Macaca mulatta: one gene and its partner. The protein of the gene in region 1 purifies or fractionates together with the protein of each later gene. This does not show direct contact. Links are inferred from orthologs where the notes say so. Each region holds a gene or a part of one and is shown on either strand. Other genes may lie near its edges. The genes, in order: PDHA1 and RAB7A.

What was found.
Region 2: the proteins of PDHA1 (region 1) and RAB7A fractionate together in Homo sapiens (co-fractionation; 3 studies listed by BioGRID, with this or other methods). This does not show direct contact. The link is inferred for Macaca mulatta from reciprocal best matches to the Homo sapiens genes PDHA1 and RAB7A.

What each region holds. Positions count from the first base shown.
Region 1 is NC_133426.1:19,079,400-19,083,988, forward strand, and holds the start of PDHA1 (pyruvate dehydrogenase E1 component subunit alpha, somatic form, mitochondrial), read left to right. Parts: upstream 1-1,483; 5' UTR 1,484-1,592; coding exon 1,593-1,649; intron 1,650-4,589. UniProt on the Homo sapiens protein: The pyruvate dehydrogenase complex catalyzes the overall conversion of pyruvate to acetyl-CoA and CO(2), and thereby links the glycolytic pathway to the tricarboxylic cycle.
Region 2 is NC_133407.1:155,147,286-155,151,094, reverse strand, and holds part of RAB7A (ras-related protein Rab-7a), read left to right. Parts: intron 1-933; coding exon 934-1,062; intron 1,063-3,809.

The DNA of each region.
Region 1 (4,589 bases):
ACCCTCTGACTCTTTTAAGAAGTTTTCTTCCACTACAACATGGTCATCAAGTTGGAAGGACTCAACACGATCTCTCAGTCCAGGGTCTGACCCAGTGCCCAAATTCTTTCTCTAGCTATGCCGAGAGCTGGTCATGCTTTGAACTTCTGCTTTGAATACTTTCAGTGACACTGGGGGAGAATTATCTCATTGGACCATTGTCATTGTTAGAAAATTCATTGTTATGCTGAAATGAAAGGATTTTATTCACACACACACACACACACACACACACACACACAATAGCTCTTCCTCCTGTAACATGACTGGCCTGAAAATGTGTGAAGACATATCCAATCCTCTCTGGTTTTATTGTTCATTCAGTTTTCTGTTCTCCTCCTGGCAGGATTATATTTCACCTTGTGGAACCCAGACATGGTCGGGTAACTAGCTCTGGTCTGTGAAAATTGAGAGGAAGTGACATGTGTCACTTCTGGACAGAAGCTTTGAGAGCCGGTTTAAATGATCCCTTTTGCCTTCATCCATGAGACAAGCTAAGTTCCACAGAGAGGGTGCCACGCTGCGAAGGACCTGTGTTATGAGCACGATGGCTCGTGCCACTTCAAATTCCTCAAGTGACTGAAATTTGGAGGTCAGTTGTTACCACATCATAACCTAGCCAATTCTAGTTAGCCTGTTTTCTTCCTAACTTCTTTAATCGTTCTTCATAAGTCACAATCTCAGCCCCTCACCATTCTGACCACTGTCCCCTGGATTCCACTCAGCTTAGTCATTATCCCCCTTAAAATGTGGAGCCCAAATGTGAACCCCAGGTGCAATCCCACTAGGGCACAACAGAATGGGTTCCTGTGCCCTTTGATCCTCTGAATAGAGCCTCTTGTTGCTTTGGTGTTTGTCTCTGTGTGTGCTTTCATCATTGGCCGAGCCACGCTGTTAACTCGCAGTGAACCAATAACTAGAGAAAAAAGATTTTTCCCATTGACCTCTCGACATATATTGGGAAACAAATTTTTTGATCCGCGTTCAAGTAGACAGGGCAGAATTTTCCAACTGCTACGTGATCTTTTAAAGACAAGTTAGTGGCAGACCATTTACAGAAACCAGGTGTTCTGTCTTTTGGCTCTGAGCATGCTGCTAATCTTCATCATCTCGTGTACTGAGCGAGGGCTGCAGAGCTGCAGCACCGGCAGGACTAGGCGCTCGATAGTACCGGGCGCTGCAGTGCGAAATCTAGGAAGGCGCCTTTCCCGCGGCGCCCTGGAGGCGGGACCCCAGCTTCCCACGCAGGCGCTCTCAGGTCCCGCCTCCTCACCCGCCCGCCGCGTGGCGTCGGAAAGAGCGCTCAGCCCCTCCCTCTCTGGCGCTGATACCCAATGGGCAGCCGCAGGCCTTTAGCGGGGGCGGAGCACCCCCTGGACGCCGTTCTGGTTGGCCTGTGGCCCGGCGCAGTGCATGACGTTATTATGACTCTGTCACGTCGCGCTGCGACTGAGGCGTGGCGTCTGCTGGGGCACCTGAAGGAGACTTTGGGACACCCTCGTCGTGCCTCTTGGGTTGTGAGGAGTCTTCGCTGCCGCCAGTGCCTGTGCTTCATGAGGAAGATGCTCGCCGCCGTCTCCCGCGTGTTGTCTGGCGCTTCTCAGAAGCCGGTGAGACCTCCTGGGCGGCCGGGGTGGGGCGCGAGCGGGGCTGGAGGGCGGGCCGGGCCGGGCCACCCAGAGCTGGGTAGAAGGAGCTAGGGGAGCCGGGGAGCCTTTACTTCGCCCCCACGCCCTGCTTTCCGTTCCTGGCCTCAGCAGAAGCGACGCGGACCGGGATCCTGCCAAGGTCCCTGTGGACTTCCCCCTTCTCTACACCCCGCTGCCGCCGCCGGGCCCAGCTGTGCGCCGGGCGAAGTCAGTGTGCTCAAGAGGTGCCTGTTGGTTTACAGGACTCGGAAAGGGTGGCCTCGGCCTCCTTCGAGTCTCCGATTGACCCTACTCATTTCAGATCTTCCTAACTTAATTTCTCTTGACCGAGAGGCTTTGTAATAGCGTAGAATCTGGAGACGGAGTGGCTCCGTTCAAACAGCACCCTCACCATTGACTAACCCTGTGACCTTGAGCAAGTTTTTAAACTTCCCGGGGACCCGGTTTCCTGAAATGTTTGCGCTAAGTGGAGTTAATCTCTGAATGGAGATAAGAGTTATCTCTGAAATGTTATCGGTTATTAAAATGTTATCAGTTAACTCTAAAATGGAGTTTTAGAGTTGTTTTGGGGTTGTCTTGAGGATTCAACGAGTGACACGTGTGGATACGATTCCAAATAGCACCCGGCACATAATCGATAGCATGTGTGTTGAATAGTGTTATTTATTGAGTGTCCCGTTCGGTATACATTTCTTGAACACCTGTGCTCAGTTCTGAGGCGGGTTCACAGAGGGTCAGCCTCTTCAGAAACAAACTTCCTCCCCTTCCCTCTCCTTCAACATCTGAGCTTTTCTTGGCAGTGAGTTCAGGAGTGCGGAAGCAGAACTCAGAGGACGCTGCCCTCCCCTCCCCTTACCTACACATTCTTGGGGTACAAGTAGCTAAAGCAAACAGCAACGATGCTTGAGGGGCGGGGGGTAGAGTCCAGCACTATTTCATGGCCTCAGCATTTAGAGGTGCCTAACACCTAAGCTTCTAGCATTCTGACCCCTAGGCACAGTGAGGTCGTGTTCATTGGTGTAACTGCAGGCCTCGGGATTCTGGTAATTCCCCCAGGACTTGATACGGCTCTAAGTACAGGCAGAGATTGTCAAAAGGTAAGAGGTATGCCCCTCTAGGAATCCTGTTGCCTAAAATAATGACAGAACTGCCGGGTGCGGTGGCTCAAGCCTGTAATCCCAGCACTTTGGGAGGCTGAGGCGGGTGGATCACCTGAGGTCAGAAGTTGGAGATCAGCCTGGCCAATGTGGTGAAACCCCATCTCTACTAAAAATACACAATTAGCTGGGCATGGTGGCGGGTTCCTGTAATCCCAGCTCCTCTGGAGGCTGAGGCAGGAGAATAGCCTGAGCTCGGGAGGTGGAGTTTGCAGTGAGTGCCATTACGCTACAGCCTGGGCGACAAGAGCAAGACTCCGTGTTTAAAAAAAAAAAAAAGTCATTCCCTTTGGGGATATCTGTGGGTAGAGGGCTGTACCGGTAGTTATGGGCTTAGAAACATCCTTCCTTTAGGCACCCCGATGTAGGTTTATTATTTCTTCTGCAAGTCAGGTTTATCGTTTCCTCTATCAGTTTGCAGGGTCTCCCCCCGCCCCCACCTTACAGTAGGAAGAAAATTGAATTCCAGATATGAAGTCACCTTAGAAAGTGCCCAGGTATCTTTCCACTTAGTGGTGTAAACTCTTCAGATAATTAGGAAGTTTTCTGTGTCACTCAACTTGTCGTGGACTAATTAGGAACAATTCCTGAAGCTTTTAAGGGTAGAACTAAAAGTTTCACCTTTATCTTTTTAAAGGGTGGAATAATTAACGTGTTGACTGTTTTTTGTAATTCTTCATACTTATGGATGTCTTTTTACTTAACTATAAGAAGATAGATCAAGGTTTTAATTTTTTATATTATACATGTAAAAAGACATTTTGTATATAAGCCTTTCACAAAAATCCTGACAGTAAACAATAAGCAGTGGCTCACCCAAATTAGGCAGACTTACTGAACTAGATTCCTACCATCTGTGTGATACTCCATGAAGGGAGGGATAAGTTTAGGCAGCTGGTCTGATGGCTGTGACACAAGTTAATCCCCTTAACCTCCCAAGATGCTGTGCGTTTTTTCCTTTTTCATTTTTTATTCTCCCTGGTATTTTTGTTTTGTTTGAGATAGAGTCTCTTTGTCACCCAGGCTGGAGTGCAGTAGCATGATGACAGCTCACTGTAGCCTCAGCCTGCCGGGCTCGAGCGATCCTCCTACCTTAGCCTCCTGAGTAGCTGGGAACATAGGCGTGCGCCACCATCACACCCAGCCAATTTAAAAAAAATAAATTTTTTTAGTAGAGGCATGGTTTCGCTATGTTGCCCAGTCTGGTCTCCATCTCCAGGCTCAAGCAGTCCTCCCACCTGGGCCTCCCAAAGTGCTGGGATTGCTCTCACTCTCTTAAAACCAGGCAGGTGGGGAGATTCATCTCAGGTTTAAAGATTGCCATTGTCTTATCAAAGAGTGTGTGTTGTGAAACTTTGAAATGAATTTCAAGATTGTGTTTTCATTTTTGAATAAGGTCTATAGTTTTCATAGTTCTTATTTCATGGAAGAAGACAGAATTGCATTTAAAATGTTATTCTTTGTTTTATTGTTTGCATTTCTGTATGACTTTTTGAGATCTTTACTGTGTTTTGGCTTTATAAGTGGTAGGTAAGAGTTTTAATTTACACTGTTAGAATATGGAATTTTTGAAACATTTTTCCTCTTCCACATGAATGATTCCTATGTATTTAGGAAGTTAAAGTTTTACTTTTTTTAAATTAATTTTTTTTTTAGGCTGGACTGCAGTGGCACAATCATAGCTCACTGTAGCCTCAGATGTGCGCCACCACACGTGACTAATTTTTTAATAATTATTTTTGTA
Region 2 (3,809 bases), on another chromosome or scaffold:
TTGCTCCCAAGGGGCCTTGTGAATTTGGAGGGTTCTCTGCTAAGCTCACATGGCTCTAGGAGGTGCTGGTGGGAGTCTTCATCACCCTATGCCAGCCCTTCAGGCCAACTGCCTTTAAGGACTGGGACCCAGGTGACCTGGGTTAAGTCCCCATCCTGCTCCCAGCTGGCTGTGACTTTACGCCATTGTCTTGGCTATCTCAACTTCAGTTCCCTTTCTGCACTTTGAAGGAGGGAATTCAGTTTTGTCATTCTCAGTAGTGCCCTCCCAGTACCTCCAGGCCGTGCTTGGATCTCCATGTGTGCAGAATATTGCTTTGGGCTTTGAGTGAAATTGCTGTACTATAGTTATAGTTTCAAATATCATTTCTGTTGGAAACATAGACTCTTTGATTAATTACGACTACGTTTATTTCTGACCATGGATCTTTTTTCCTCCCCTTCCTAAGTGACTTAGTCCTTATCTCTTGGCTGAAAATGGGCTAGGGGTTGGGGAAGGAATGAGAATGTGAGAGTGGCATGGGTGACATCACACTAGCAGTAATGGTAAAGGGACTCTAAACCTTAAGACCAAGCTGCTGGGCATTTCCTGTCCTGGGATCTCTGAGGTCCCAGTAAACACTCTTCATTTCTTCCCAGACTGGCTTCTTACTCCATTCACAAATGGCTTTTAAGTATAACTGAGGGTCAGAAGGTATGAGCTGTAGACTGAGACAGGCTTTGAGCTCTCTAGCTGAATCCTAGCTATCCTGAGCATAGCCAGCAGGGCGAGTTTGGACGGGTCTACTGGTCTCTTCCAACACCCTCTTTCCCCACATCTGTGTCCTCACCTGTACCACCTGTAGACGAGGGACCATGACACTTCCTGGGGAGGATGGAGTCAGTGCTAGCTGCTTCTATCATGAGCCTGTGTGCACCCTACTTCTCCTTTCAGGTGGCCACAAAGCGGGCACAGGCCTGGTGCTACAGCAAAAACAACATTCCCTACTTTGAGACCAGTGCCAAGGAGGCCATCAACGTGGAGCAGGCGTTCCAGACGATTGCACGGAATGCACTTAAGCAGGTGGGTCTCCCACAGCTGACCTGCCCACTCTTGTGATGCCTGACCACTGACCCAGTCCCTGCCTGACCTCCTGCCCTTAATCTTCTTCCCTAACCCACTCTTTTCTATGTAGTCAGAATACCCTAAGTGTTCATCTGGGAAGGTTAGGACATGCTCTGCTTAAGCTTCCAGAAACCCCACTTTGGGGAAATAACCTAAAAGATGTAGAGGCTGGGAAGACTGAGACTGCCCTTCTTTTACTAGGCTTGTTCTTATTTTCTTGGCTGCGATTAGGAGATCAGGTCACTGGGAGACCCCTGATCAGATTGCTGCTCTATTTAAGAAGGAACTTAACTTGAATACAAATCCCAGCTCTGCTGCCTACCAATCATTATATCTAGTTTGGGCTTAAAAATATATATATTATGGCCAGGCATGGTGGCTCACGTCTATAATCCTAGCAGTTTGGGAGGCCAAGGCGGGCCGATCACTTGAGGTCAGGAGTTTGAGACCAGCCTGGCCAACATGGTGAAACCCCATCTCCACTAAAAAATAAAAAGAAAATTAGCCAGGCCTGGTGGGGGTTGCCAGTAATCCCAGCTACTCAGGAGGCTGAGGCAGGAGAATTGCTTGAACCCAGGCGGCAGAGGTTGCAGTGAGCCAAGATTGCACCACTGTACTCCAGCCTGGGTGACAGAGTGAGACTCTTTCTCAAAAAAAAAAATTAAAAATAAAATTATATCCGAACTTCTACCCCCTCACCTGAAAAATGGGAATACCTGCTTTTGCAGGGTGATTATGAAGATTAAATGAGACCAACTTTTTCAGCTCTCACATACTGACAGGTAACTTTTTTCCTTAGGAACAGTTAAGTAAACAAGGAAGAAAATGTAGGAAAACTATTCAAGGAATACAATACCTAGAATTTCTTACTTACTGTTTCTGTGATTAGATACAACCACTCATGCGAGTTGAAAGTCTTTTTTTTTTGTTTTGTTTTGTTTTGTTTTGTTTTGTTTTGTTTTGTTTGAGACGGAGTCTTGCTCTGTCACCCAGGCTGGAGTGCAGTGGCCGGATCTCAGCTCACTGCAAGCTCCTCCTCTCGGGTTCACGCCATTCTCCTGCCTCAGCCTCCCGAGTAGCTGGGACTACAGGCACCCGCCACTTCGCCCGGCTAGTTTTTTGTATTTTTTAGTAGAGACGGGGTTTCACCGTATTAGCCAGGATGGTCTCGATCTCCTGACCTCATGATCCGCCCGTCTCGGCCTCCCAAAGTGCTGGGATTACAGGCTTGAGCCACCGTGCCCGGCCGAAAGTCTGTTTTGATGTACAACTCTGTTAGGGGCAGTGGTGATTAAGGCAGATCACGAGGCCTCATCAGACAGGGTCTGGGGGTGGTCAGAGGTGTGACAGGTTTGGGGGGATGCATAGAGCACTTGAAGCACATAGTGGCTGTGAAGGGCAAGGCAGATTCTGCTGACTCCAGGAAGCCGGCAGAATGAAGGTAATGGCTTTCAGCAGGACAGAGAGTTGTTTGGAATGGTTGCTCCAAGGACCAGGGAAATTCTGGCATGAGTGGGGTCTGCACTAAGTGTTCCAGAATGAAAGGGACAGACCTACTCAGTGAGGAAATTGTTCCACCCAGAATGCCAGGAGAGCCCTCAAGTGGTAAGGAAAAGACCAAGATGCAGACTTGGCCACCCTCACCCACAAATAATAAACGGTTGTGTTTTTCTTAATGTTCATATAAGGGAATGGAAATCCAAATCGTGTAGGATAGTGTTTCCCACCTGTTTCCCTGTTGCCTGGCATCACCGTCTGAGTTTTTCTCTTCCATCACTACTGTCCCTGTTGTCTTTATGCTTTTATTTTTAGAGCTAGCCCCTAAGGAGTTAGATTGTTACATTGGAGGGTCTGTTTTATTATAAGTTAGGGTGCCAGGTTGCTTTCCCCAAGGGGAATAACATTTCAGCAGCGTGGGCTTGCTTTGTTCTACCTCCTTGCCAGCAAGCAATAGGTGTCACTTGTCACTCTGCTGACATTGCCAATCTTTGGGTGTATAAATTGCCACCATCGTGGCTACTGTTCCCTCTGAGTCCCTCTTCCTGGGGCTTAGCCATTTGGATTTTCTCTGCTGCACACAGCTAGCACATAGCACATGGTTGGGCCTCTCTCAGTTCTCATGAGCTGCTAGTCAATTGAAGTTAATTCTACTTGCATCTCAAGTGACTTTTTCAACTCTGTGGTATTTTTAAGTCCTTTGAACATAGGAAAAAAGTAATTTTTTATTTGGGTATGTCATTTTAAGTTTCTGTGTTTCCTGTGTCTACATCAGATTTTTCTCTAATTCAGCTGGAATTTGTTTTGGCTTATGGCAGGAAAGAGAGACTTGCCTTTTCTCTCAGAGAGCTCAGCCAGTTGTTTGAAATCATTCGGCTATGTTACATAAGCCGTTTCCCTCCCTGAATAGACCGTGGCCTGTGCTAAATGCTCATATGTGCTGGGATCTGTTTCTGGTCTCTCCAGTCTGTACTGGTGATGTCTATGCCATGTTCCCTTATCTGGACTGTCTTGATTTCACTGCCTGATAAGGCAAGTTTCCTCTTGCCACATTCTTTTTTTTTTTTTTTTTTTGAGGTAGAGTCTTGCTCTGTTGCCCAGGCTGGAATGCAATGGCGTGATCTCAGCTCACTGCAACCTCCGCCTCCCGGGTTCAAGTGAATCTCCTGCCTCAGCCTCCCAAGTAGCTGGGATTACAGACATCTGCC